2 linked regions of the Nothobranchius furzeri genome follow. The protein of the gene in region 1 interacts with the protein of each later gene in a biochemical or structural test. Links are inferred from orthologs where the notes say so. Each region holds a gene or a part of one and is shown on either strand. Other genes may lie near its edges.

What was found. The genes of interacting proteins can lie anywhere in the genome.
Region 2: the proteins of nup155 (region 1) and gle1 form a complex in vitro, tested with the Homo sapiens proteins (2 studies listed by BioGRID). The link is inferred for Nothobranchius furzeri from reciprocal best matches to the Homo sapiens genes NUP155 and GLE1.

The regions. Positions count from the first base shown.
Region 1 is NC_091746.1:53,447,901-53,452,091, forward strand, and holds part of nup155 (nuclear pore complex protein Nup155), read right to left. Parts: intron 3,978-4,191; coding exon 3,874-3,977; intron 3,736-3,873; coding exon 3,602-3,735; intron 3,527-3,601; coding exon 3,335-3,526; intron 3,109-3,334; coding exon 2,970-3,108; intron 2,896-2,969; coding exon 2,760-2,895; intron 2,677-2,759; coding exon 2,523-2,676; intron 2,433-2,522; coding exon 2,328-2,432; intron 34-2,327; coding exon 1-33.
Region 2 is NC_091750.1:38,705,698-38,709,888, reverse strand, and holds part of gle1 (mRNA export factor GLE1), read left to right. Parts: intron 1-1,297; coding exon 1,298-1,446; intron 1,447-3,604; coding exon 3,605-3,665; intron 3,666-3,891; coding exon 3,892-4,125; intron 4,126-4,191. UniProt on the Homo sapiens protein: Required for the export of mRNAs containing poly(A) tails from the nucleus into the cytoplasm. May be involved in the terminal step of the mRNA transport through the nuclear pore complex (NPC).

The DNA.
Region 1 (4,191 bases):
CATCAGGTGTTCTTCAAGATAAGGAGAATTCACCTGAGAGAAATCAGTAGACGTTAGGATGACAAACAAATAGAGAGGAAAGAATCCAAATTTTATTTTAATGACATCATTTATGGGCACCAGACACGCAAGTATAAGTGAAGTTTAACAGCTATCTGAAGTGCTACATGTTTACGAATTTTACCCGTTTATCATCAAACCAGAGCGGACATAAAGAACATTAAATGTGTGGTTCACTGAAAAACTATTTTTTAATGACTATTTTTGAATATAATCGGTCACTGAGCTTTTCATGCAGGCTACACATGAAAATTGTCTCCTACATCTATCTCCAACTTTGGTTTCTGATAGAAAATAGACGGTGAAACGCTAGGATTTGAAAAGCCTGACAGATCTACATCACACTGTCACTTCGCATTCATCGACTCACCCATTTTGACTCACGAAGGGGAAGGCTGCTGTTGGTTTAGCGTCCAGGAAACAGTAGAGAATGTTTCAACTAAAATAAGCTAATCTTTAGCATTAGCAACTCCACCACACGGCAGAACTCCAGGCTTGTGTTATTTGTGGAGATAAAACATCAATGTTGCAGAGAAAACAGAGTCATGCTGCTGTTATCCAATCAGAGGTGACATGTGTGTCCAAAAGTCAGGAAATAAGACCCCAAATCCTGACGCTCAACTCTGATCTGGCTCACTGCTTGTTTCTGAAACAAGAGCACCAGGTCTTTTTCTCCCCAGAGTACAAGTTACAAGGCATCCATTCCAACTAGAGACCACTGCAAATGTATTGATTAAATGAGAGTTCCAAGCCTTTAAAACTCGCCTCTAGATGCACGTTTTTTATTTTAAATGAATAAATAAACAGTTTTGAACACTGAAATGTGCCAGCTTTAGTTTGAACTGTTCAAAGATTATTTTAAATTTTCTTTTAATGTTTATTCTTTTAATGAAGCATACTTTGCTATGTTTACTCTTTTAAAGTTATTTTAACATTGCTTAACTGTTTGGTTTAAAAGAAAACTGAGCACTCATGTCCTCGCTGTGCGTTTGTCTTTTTAACACCTTAATCCAACAGCTGAAATGTCTCCCCAGTCTTCCATCATGTCTATAGGAGTGATTCATCACTAAATTAAACAAATCAGCTTTGTTCATGATCTAAAACATGCAGGTAATGTGCTGGAAGCAGACTGCAGCACCAGCGTGTTAGCTCCACTTTACTAAGACTAACGCCCAGAACACACCAGACGCAGAGGCGCAATGACGCGCAGCGGAACGACGAGCGCATCTAATCTACGCCCTTGTTAACCTGCACTTTCGGTCACATCAGCTGCAAAGCACCACGAAGGCTCGCGCCGTGCAGCAATTGTTTCGGCGTGAGCTCTAATTTTTTATTCTGGCAGGAAGTCAAACCAAAACAGAAGAGGCAGGCCGGTAAATTAACAAAATAGATTGATAAATGTGATCATTTCTGTGTATCTAAACAGACTAGAGAAACGAAAATCAACACACACAAAACTGAAGCAACATAGCGTTTCCACAATTTTAAATGCAGTTTTTACAGCTAAAGATGGAATTAATTAATGTGATTACAAACAAATATCTTTCATTCAAAGGTAAATGTACAATAGTATTATACAATACCGCAAACACTAGTTATTTACTTAACCCTTTAGAATGGAACTGGTCTACAAAACAGCAGAAGGATCAGCGCAGTTTCTGATATCAACAAACTAGGCAAACTGGTAACACACACACACACACACACACACACACACACACACACGCACACGCACGCACCAAGGGCACAGGGGTGGAGTGGGGGTTTGAAAAACAGTAGGCGTGAGCAGTAGTGCTCATCAAAAATTCTCGCCTGATGTGAACAGAGAAGGAACGGACAGTGCGCAAATTTCGTGAGCTATCCACTTGGCGGCGCTTCGGTGTGTTCTGGTCGTAACTGGGAGCAGACAGTCACTCTGAAATTGCAAGTGTAGTATTCTGGCCACAGAGGATGGTGGGATCTGAGTAACCCTTCAAAGGATCATTTTAGCACAAACTGGCTCAAGAAAATAATTAAAAAATATGAAAAACTGGCATAGAATGCCTTTAAATGTTTTACTGTGATTAACAGTATACAGCCGTACAGCAGTCAATCTGTGGACAGTTTGTTGAAAAGGGCTCCAAAAATAAAGATGACTGGTTGATTAATTGATCTTTGTCAATTAAAAATACATTGTCCATGTAGAGGTTATAACATGTCAATAAAGGTTCCTTTAAGCCCCTAAAAGAAGCTGAATTCATGCCTAAAAGGAGGAAACCTAAAAGTACCTCGAGCAGCTTGTCGGAGAGGTCGGCTTGAATCAGCCAGTTGTACAGAGCGATGTGAAACAGTTCATCCTGAGACCTCTGGGCCAAACCGAGCATCTGCTCAAACTGTAGGGGAACCACAAAGTCACATTACAAATTCAGATTGTGTACAGAAATTAGCAAGAACTACCCTCTTGTCTTTTCTTCAACACTCACATGGGCTGTAGCTTCTTCGTTGCTGAGCATGTTGGGATCAGAGGTCATGACAGGAGGTCCAGGCTGCTTGGGGACACTGGGAGATTGAGGGGCAGCTTTGCTCTGGTTCACCAGCTCCTGCATGGTGTCTGTGATGCACTTGTAGCAAGAAAGTCTGAAGAAAAAAAAACAGAAGAAAACCGTTGAAGAAAAACAGCAGACAATTTGGACATTAGTGCCGCCTTTTGATGGCGTCACCTCTCTTGGAAGGCCTGCTGCCCCGTTTTGTCCTCCTCAGGCTCTCCGTTCTTGTAGAAGTGGGGCCCGAGTCTCTGGGGATCCTTTTTATCTGCCGCTGTGAGGCACAACTCAAGAACTCCCTCGTAGAAACGCACTGAGAAATGAAATACCATTAGACGATGTGGCAGCAGCACAGACAGTCGCAGCGTGTTTTGTGCCCCCACCCACCTTGTCTGTACTGGGAGCAAACCAGTGGCAGGTCTATGTTCTGGCTGATCTGCTGGTAGAGCTGTAAAGACTCCCTTAAAGTTCTCTCTTTATCGATCTTGTTCTGGATCTGTTTAGAGCTCTGCAACATCTCATTAGCCTAAGAGGGGGAGGAAATCAAATTCAGTTTACCGAGACACAAAAATCTATGTGAGCTGATCGATATCATGTCCGGGCAGGACCTTGTTGCACCTAAAATGATCTGGAGGGTTAGGGAACTAAAAGAAATAAACAAACATGTGAAAAATATATCAGTTAAAATGTGAAAGTCTTAAAGGTGGCTTGTGTTGGTGAAAATCAACAAAGGTGTGTGTGTGTGTGTGTACCTTTGAGCAGATGCTGTCATCGCTGCTGTACAGCAGTGGACAGATGTCCCGTAGGTGATTGCTGATGGCGTCCACAGAGGCGTTATCTTTGATGTAAACGTTAATAAGGCCTGTGATGAGTGCCCCAGATAATTCCTTCCCTCGGATCACTACGTCCTTAAAACTTGCCCCCTTTATCTGCTCCTGAAATTCCTACAAAAAAAGGGTAGAATAAGTAGAGAGCATCAGAGCAGCGCCTGTTTGCTATGCTAAAGCGCTTCTGCCCACCTTTGGCAGCTCAGACATAATGAGGCTGAACTGATGATCGCAGAGAAGCTTCCAGAGTGCCAGAGTTTGATAAGAGCGGTGCACTAGCTGCTGGATGCCCTGCAGCGACACTTTCTCATAGACCTGAGCTTTGGCTAGTGAAAAAACGAATGAAAACAACATTTTTTTAACAATCAAAGCAATGAGTTGAATACAAATCTATACTTGTTTGCAAACTTTAATTTAAAAAAAAACTGAAGAGGAAAATGATGAAATTCCAGTTCAAAACTCACTGTGGTATTTCCTCTGAAGCTCCTGCTGCACCTGCTGGGAGCCGGCTCCGTCGGGACGCATGAATCCCAGCAGCCTTTGCTGCAGGTTGGCTGGAGAGCTGAAGCTAATGAGAATCCAAGCACAAAGGACCAGAATAAAGACAGAGACAGTCTATTAAAGTTTATGAATTAATGAAAAGAAAGTAAAACTCGGGTTAACTAGTTTTCACATCAGCTTCTCAATCAGTTTAAAGCTCGAAAAGGTCAACTCTGCTGGCATCAAGCTAAAAAAACAAGATGTTTAGTCAGATCCTAACTACAGATGGCACAGCAGGTATC
Region 2 (4,191 bases), on another chromosome or scaffold:
TTTTCTTTTGGTGCAGTTCAAATGACGACCGCTAGTTGGCAGCAGTGTGCAATGAGTTTTGTTTCCACCACTGAAATGTAAATCCCTCTGTGGTCAGATACCTCATGTATCTAAAATTCTCTTTACCCCCAAAGTATAAAGAAGTCCATTTTAAAACCTTGAATGATATTTACCCATCTAACCATTTTATGCAAACTAGATTTAAGTTCAATGTGGAAAAATGTTACTTATGCAAACAAAACGATGAATCGACCAAACATCTATTCTTTGAATGTGATAAAATTCTAATCATGTGGAATTCACTCGAGGATTGGCTGAACTCCAATCAAATTTATATAAACAATTTCACAGTTGAAGATATCTTATTTGGCATTATACTAAAAGATAAAAAGAATGAATTTCTAATTAATAATCTCATAATCTTAACAAAATTTTTCATACACAAATGCCGATATCTCAAAAATCCACCTACGTGGAATAATCTCAAAAATGAAATTAAACTGCTGTTGAGATCCTTAGGTAAAATGTCCACCCCCAATGCTATAAAGCTTTATGATTTCATTATGAACACTAATCTCTAACTGCTTTTTGGATGGTATACACAATAGACCTTGTTTGCTCTTTAACTTCCCCCTTGTAAAACTTTATTTATATACATATAATTTGTTTTTTCATGTTGTCTTACTTGTATCCTTTCATGTTCTATTTTTGTTTTTTTTGTGGTTGTTATTTTTGTTTATTGTCTTCTTACTATACCAAGTTGAATTGTATCCACAAAATGCAAGTTGAGATGAACACGAACTTCGGAGCTACTCTGTAATGTCATTCTGCTAACAAATTTTGAAATGTAGTCGCTTTTGTTCGTTTTGCAAAGGTTCAATAAAAGTTCTTAAAAAAAGATACCTCATGTTAAACAGTTTGGACTGTTTATTGAATTGTCCTACAATAATTTCAGTCTAAAAAAGTAGGTAATATCGTTTGACTGAAGATATCGTATTGTCTCCCTTGTATCGTATCACTAGAATTTCACCAGCACACATCCCCACCTGCTAGTTGTCTGGAAACCTGGGAGGATAACCAAAGTCTTAGATTATTTTATTTTGCCATTTTAAAGAACTGTAAAGATGCATTTGACGGGTTAAAAAATGACATTCACTGCTTTGATTATTTGTAAATAAGTCCAGTTGTCTTAAGAACCAGCAATTTAAATATTCTAAATAGTCTGACACAGATGACCTTTCAAGGCTATGCTTTTAGTGACCGACTGTCCTGTTTGTCCCGTGTCCTCCCTGCTTAGATGGCGCTCAGGTTGCGACAGGAGGAGCAGGAGAAGCTGGTGGAGGCTGCTGCCAACGCTGAGTCAGAGCAGCTAAAACGCTTTGAGGAGCTCATGGAGCTGAAGCAGAGGCAGGAGTTCCAGAGTATGAGGGACATGATGGACCGAGAGTGAGCACAGAGCAGCGTGGTGGCCAACACCTCTAGTTTTATGTTTCTGAGTGTTGTACGTGTGACCCAAACGGTCTGGCTTTCTGGAACTCTCTCCTCCAGTGGACTCAGTGGTCTCCTTTAACAAGCAGCTGAAAACTCACCTGTTCAGGCTTTGGTGTGACCTTTGTCACCACCCTCTCCTTATTCTGCTCTTTCTACCTATTCCTGGGATCCACTGATTTCCCTCTTTCCTGTTCGTTTTCTCTCTCCCTTTCCTTCCATTCTTTAATCACAATATTTTTTCTCATTTTAAAGAGCAAGTCACCCCCTACCAGAGTATTGCTCCGCTCCCACTTCATGTTTGAAAAATGCAACAAATGCTGTTGTCTGGGAGACTGAGAGGGCGGAGCCACTAACAAAAACACACACACACACAACATTGTGACATCATATGGTACCAGCTAACGTTCTAGGATACCTCTTAGCCAATAGCGATGGCAGATTTAGATTCAAATGCAGTGCAGAGTTTTTACCTGACAACGGCACAACACTGACAGTTTTAGGCAGAACATTTAAATTTGAACTAAAATGCACTAAAGTGCAAAACTATTGACTACACGTGTCTGCAGCATGATTAGACATGCATTTATATAGTTTATCAGGGAAAAAAAGTTGATTTGGGGGTGACTTGCTCTTTAAATATACCGTAAATCCTCTAATGCAGGCCCGGGCCTGTATTTGACTCAAGCTCATCAAGCTCCAGGCCTTTATTGGAAGGAGGGCCAGTATTAGAGGCATGCCTCAATTTCTATTTGAGCAAAATGAGCTAAAGGTTCGCTGGAGTTTTTGACAATTAATATTGCGCCCACATTTTCAAAGTTAAACACATTTCTTTTAACAACGGTAGTTTCTGCTTCAGCCATCTCCCCCCTGCGCAAACTCACTGATGCGCCTGCAGCCTCTCAGAGTTCCTGCTGCTCTAAACATTAAAATAATTATTTCATTTTCTGTTCCTCACTTCTGATTACCTTCAATGGTGTCTGTTTGTTGCAACCACCAGGTACAAAAACTAACTTGTTTTTATTTGACTATTTTTTTGTCCTGTTTATTATCTTCCTGCATCTCCTCTCAATCCTAAAGAAAAACTGCTACCTGGGTTCATATATATTCACCTCATGAGTTACCTTTGAACTGCAGTTCTAAAAGATCTACCGACCGCAAAAACAGCAGAGTGCTCGCTGCTTGCCGGCCGCATCAGTGATCGGTGCGTCACCGGAGGACAAAACAGGTGATGCGCCCCGATCCACAGCAGCGAAAGGCATCAGGCACAAATAAAAGAAAAAAAGACAGAAAACATAAAAGGAAATGAGCCGACATGAACGATCGCGTGTTAAATTAGTTTTTGAGGTGGCGACGCCTGACTTGATAATGTTACTGTGGCCGTGCTCAGGACGCAGATATCTGGAGCACGTCAACAATCAGAGCTTTGCATGCGCAGGCTGGTTAAGGTTAGGATGGGGGTGAGGGGAAGGTTAAATTGCAAGAGGGTAAAGGTCACAATTTGGTTAAATGTCCGTTTTACGGCGGGTGTCGGTACCGACGCTCTGGCACAGCGCGTTGCCTCCCGACGCGCAGGAGCTTGTCACCTGCTGACAGCAGGCTGCTGTCTTTTCCGTGGACTGCATCTTGCCGGTCATTATCACGTGACAGCGACTAGTCGATGACAGGCATAAAAAGTCACTATAGAGCGGTGAAGTAGACTAGTGACTAGTTCATACAACCCCTGCTACTGCTCCCCGGAGTGTTCTGCAGCATAATCAGCACGTTCTCTTTGAACTTGATATCAAATTTTCGCCTGCTCTTCGTCTCCGCACGGTTAAAGTTACCCTCGCGGTCTATCACTGGCAAATCAAAAGTGAGACGGATGACACAACCGCCCCCCGTACTTGCTTGTTACCACATTCCACCCGGCCACAATAAAAAACCGGCCATTATTCACCTCCGCCGACTCCGACACCGGCCAAAATATGATACCCGGCAGTTAATTAAATACAGGCTAATATTAGAGGATTTACGGTATTCGTAATCTTTTTTTTTTGGTGTGTTTGTGAAGCGCCTCGTGATTTTTATCTTGAGAGGCATTATATAAAAGATAGTTTTCTTTCTTCCTTTTCAGAATCAAAGAGATCATGGGCCGTCAAGAGAAACTGAAGGAGGAGCAGAGGCACAGAACGAGGGTAGGATGAACTGTGTAGAAAGCACACATTTAGTAGATTCTGTCTAAAGCTGAGAAAACAGAATAATACAAGAACAAAGGGAGAAAAGCAGAAAGGCACGTTTAGACCTCTGCAGAATGATCCAACTCTGACGTCAAGTTCTTTGTGTCGGTGTGCGTTAGTATTTATTCACTTGTTCTCTGTGAAAGAATAAAATCCAATAGACGACATTTTCTTTGCTCTTCAGCTCATGAACCTACGTTTAAGGGAGGCAGAGCTTGAGAAGCAGAGGCAGACGGAGGGCAGGGAGCGACTGCGTAACCTCAACAACATCCAGGAGGAGATCCTGCAGCTCAACCAGCTGCTGGAGCCGTCCTCCCAGACCGACTCTGCGCTCTCAGCCAGCAGCCTTGGCTCCTACAGCGCCCGCGGGAACCATCTGTGCTCCCAGGTTTCAGAGGTCGCGAGGAAGACGGCCGAGGTAGCCCCTGACTGTTCAAGCCCTTCGTCCTGCAGACATTTATAGCATAACAGCAGCTTTTCTCCT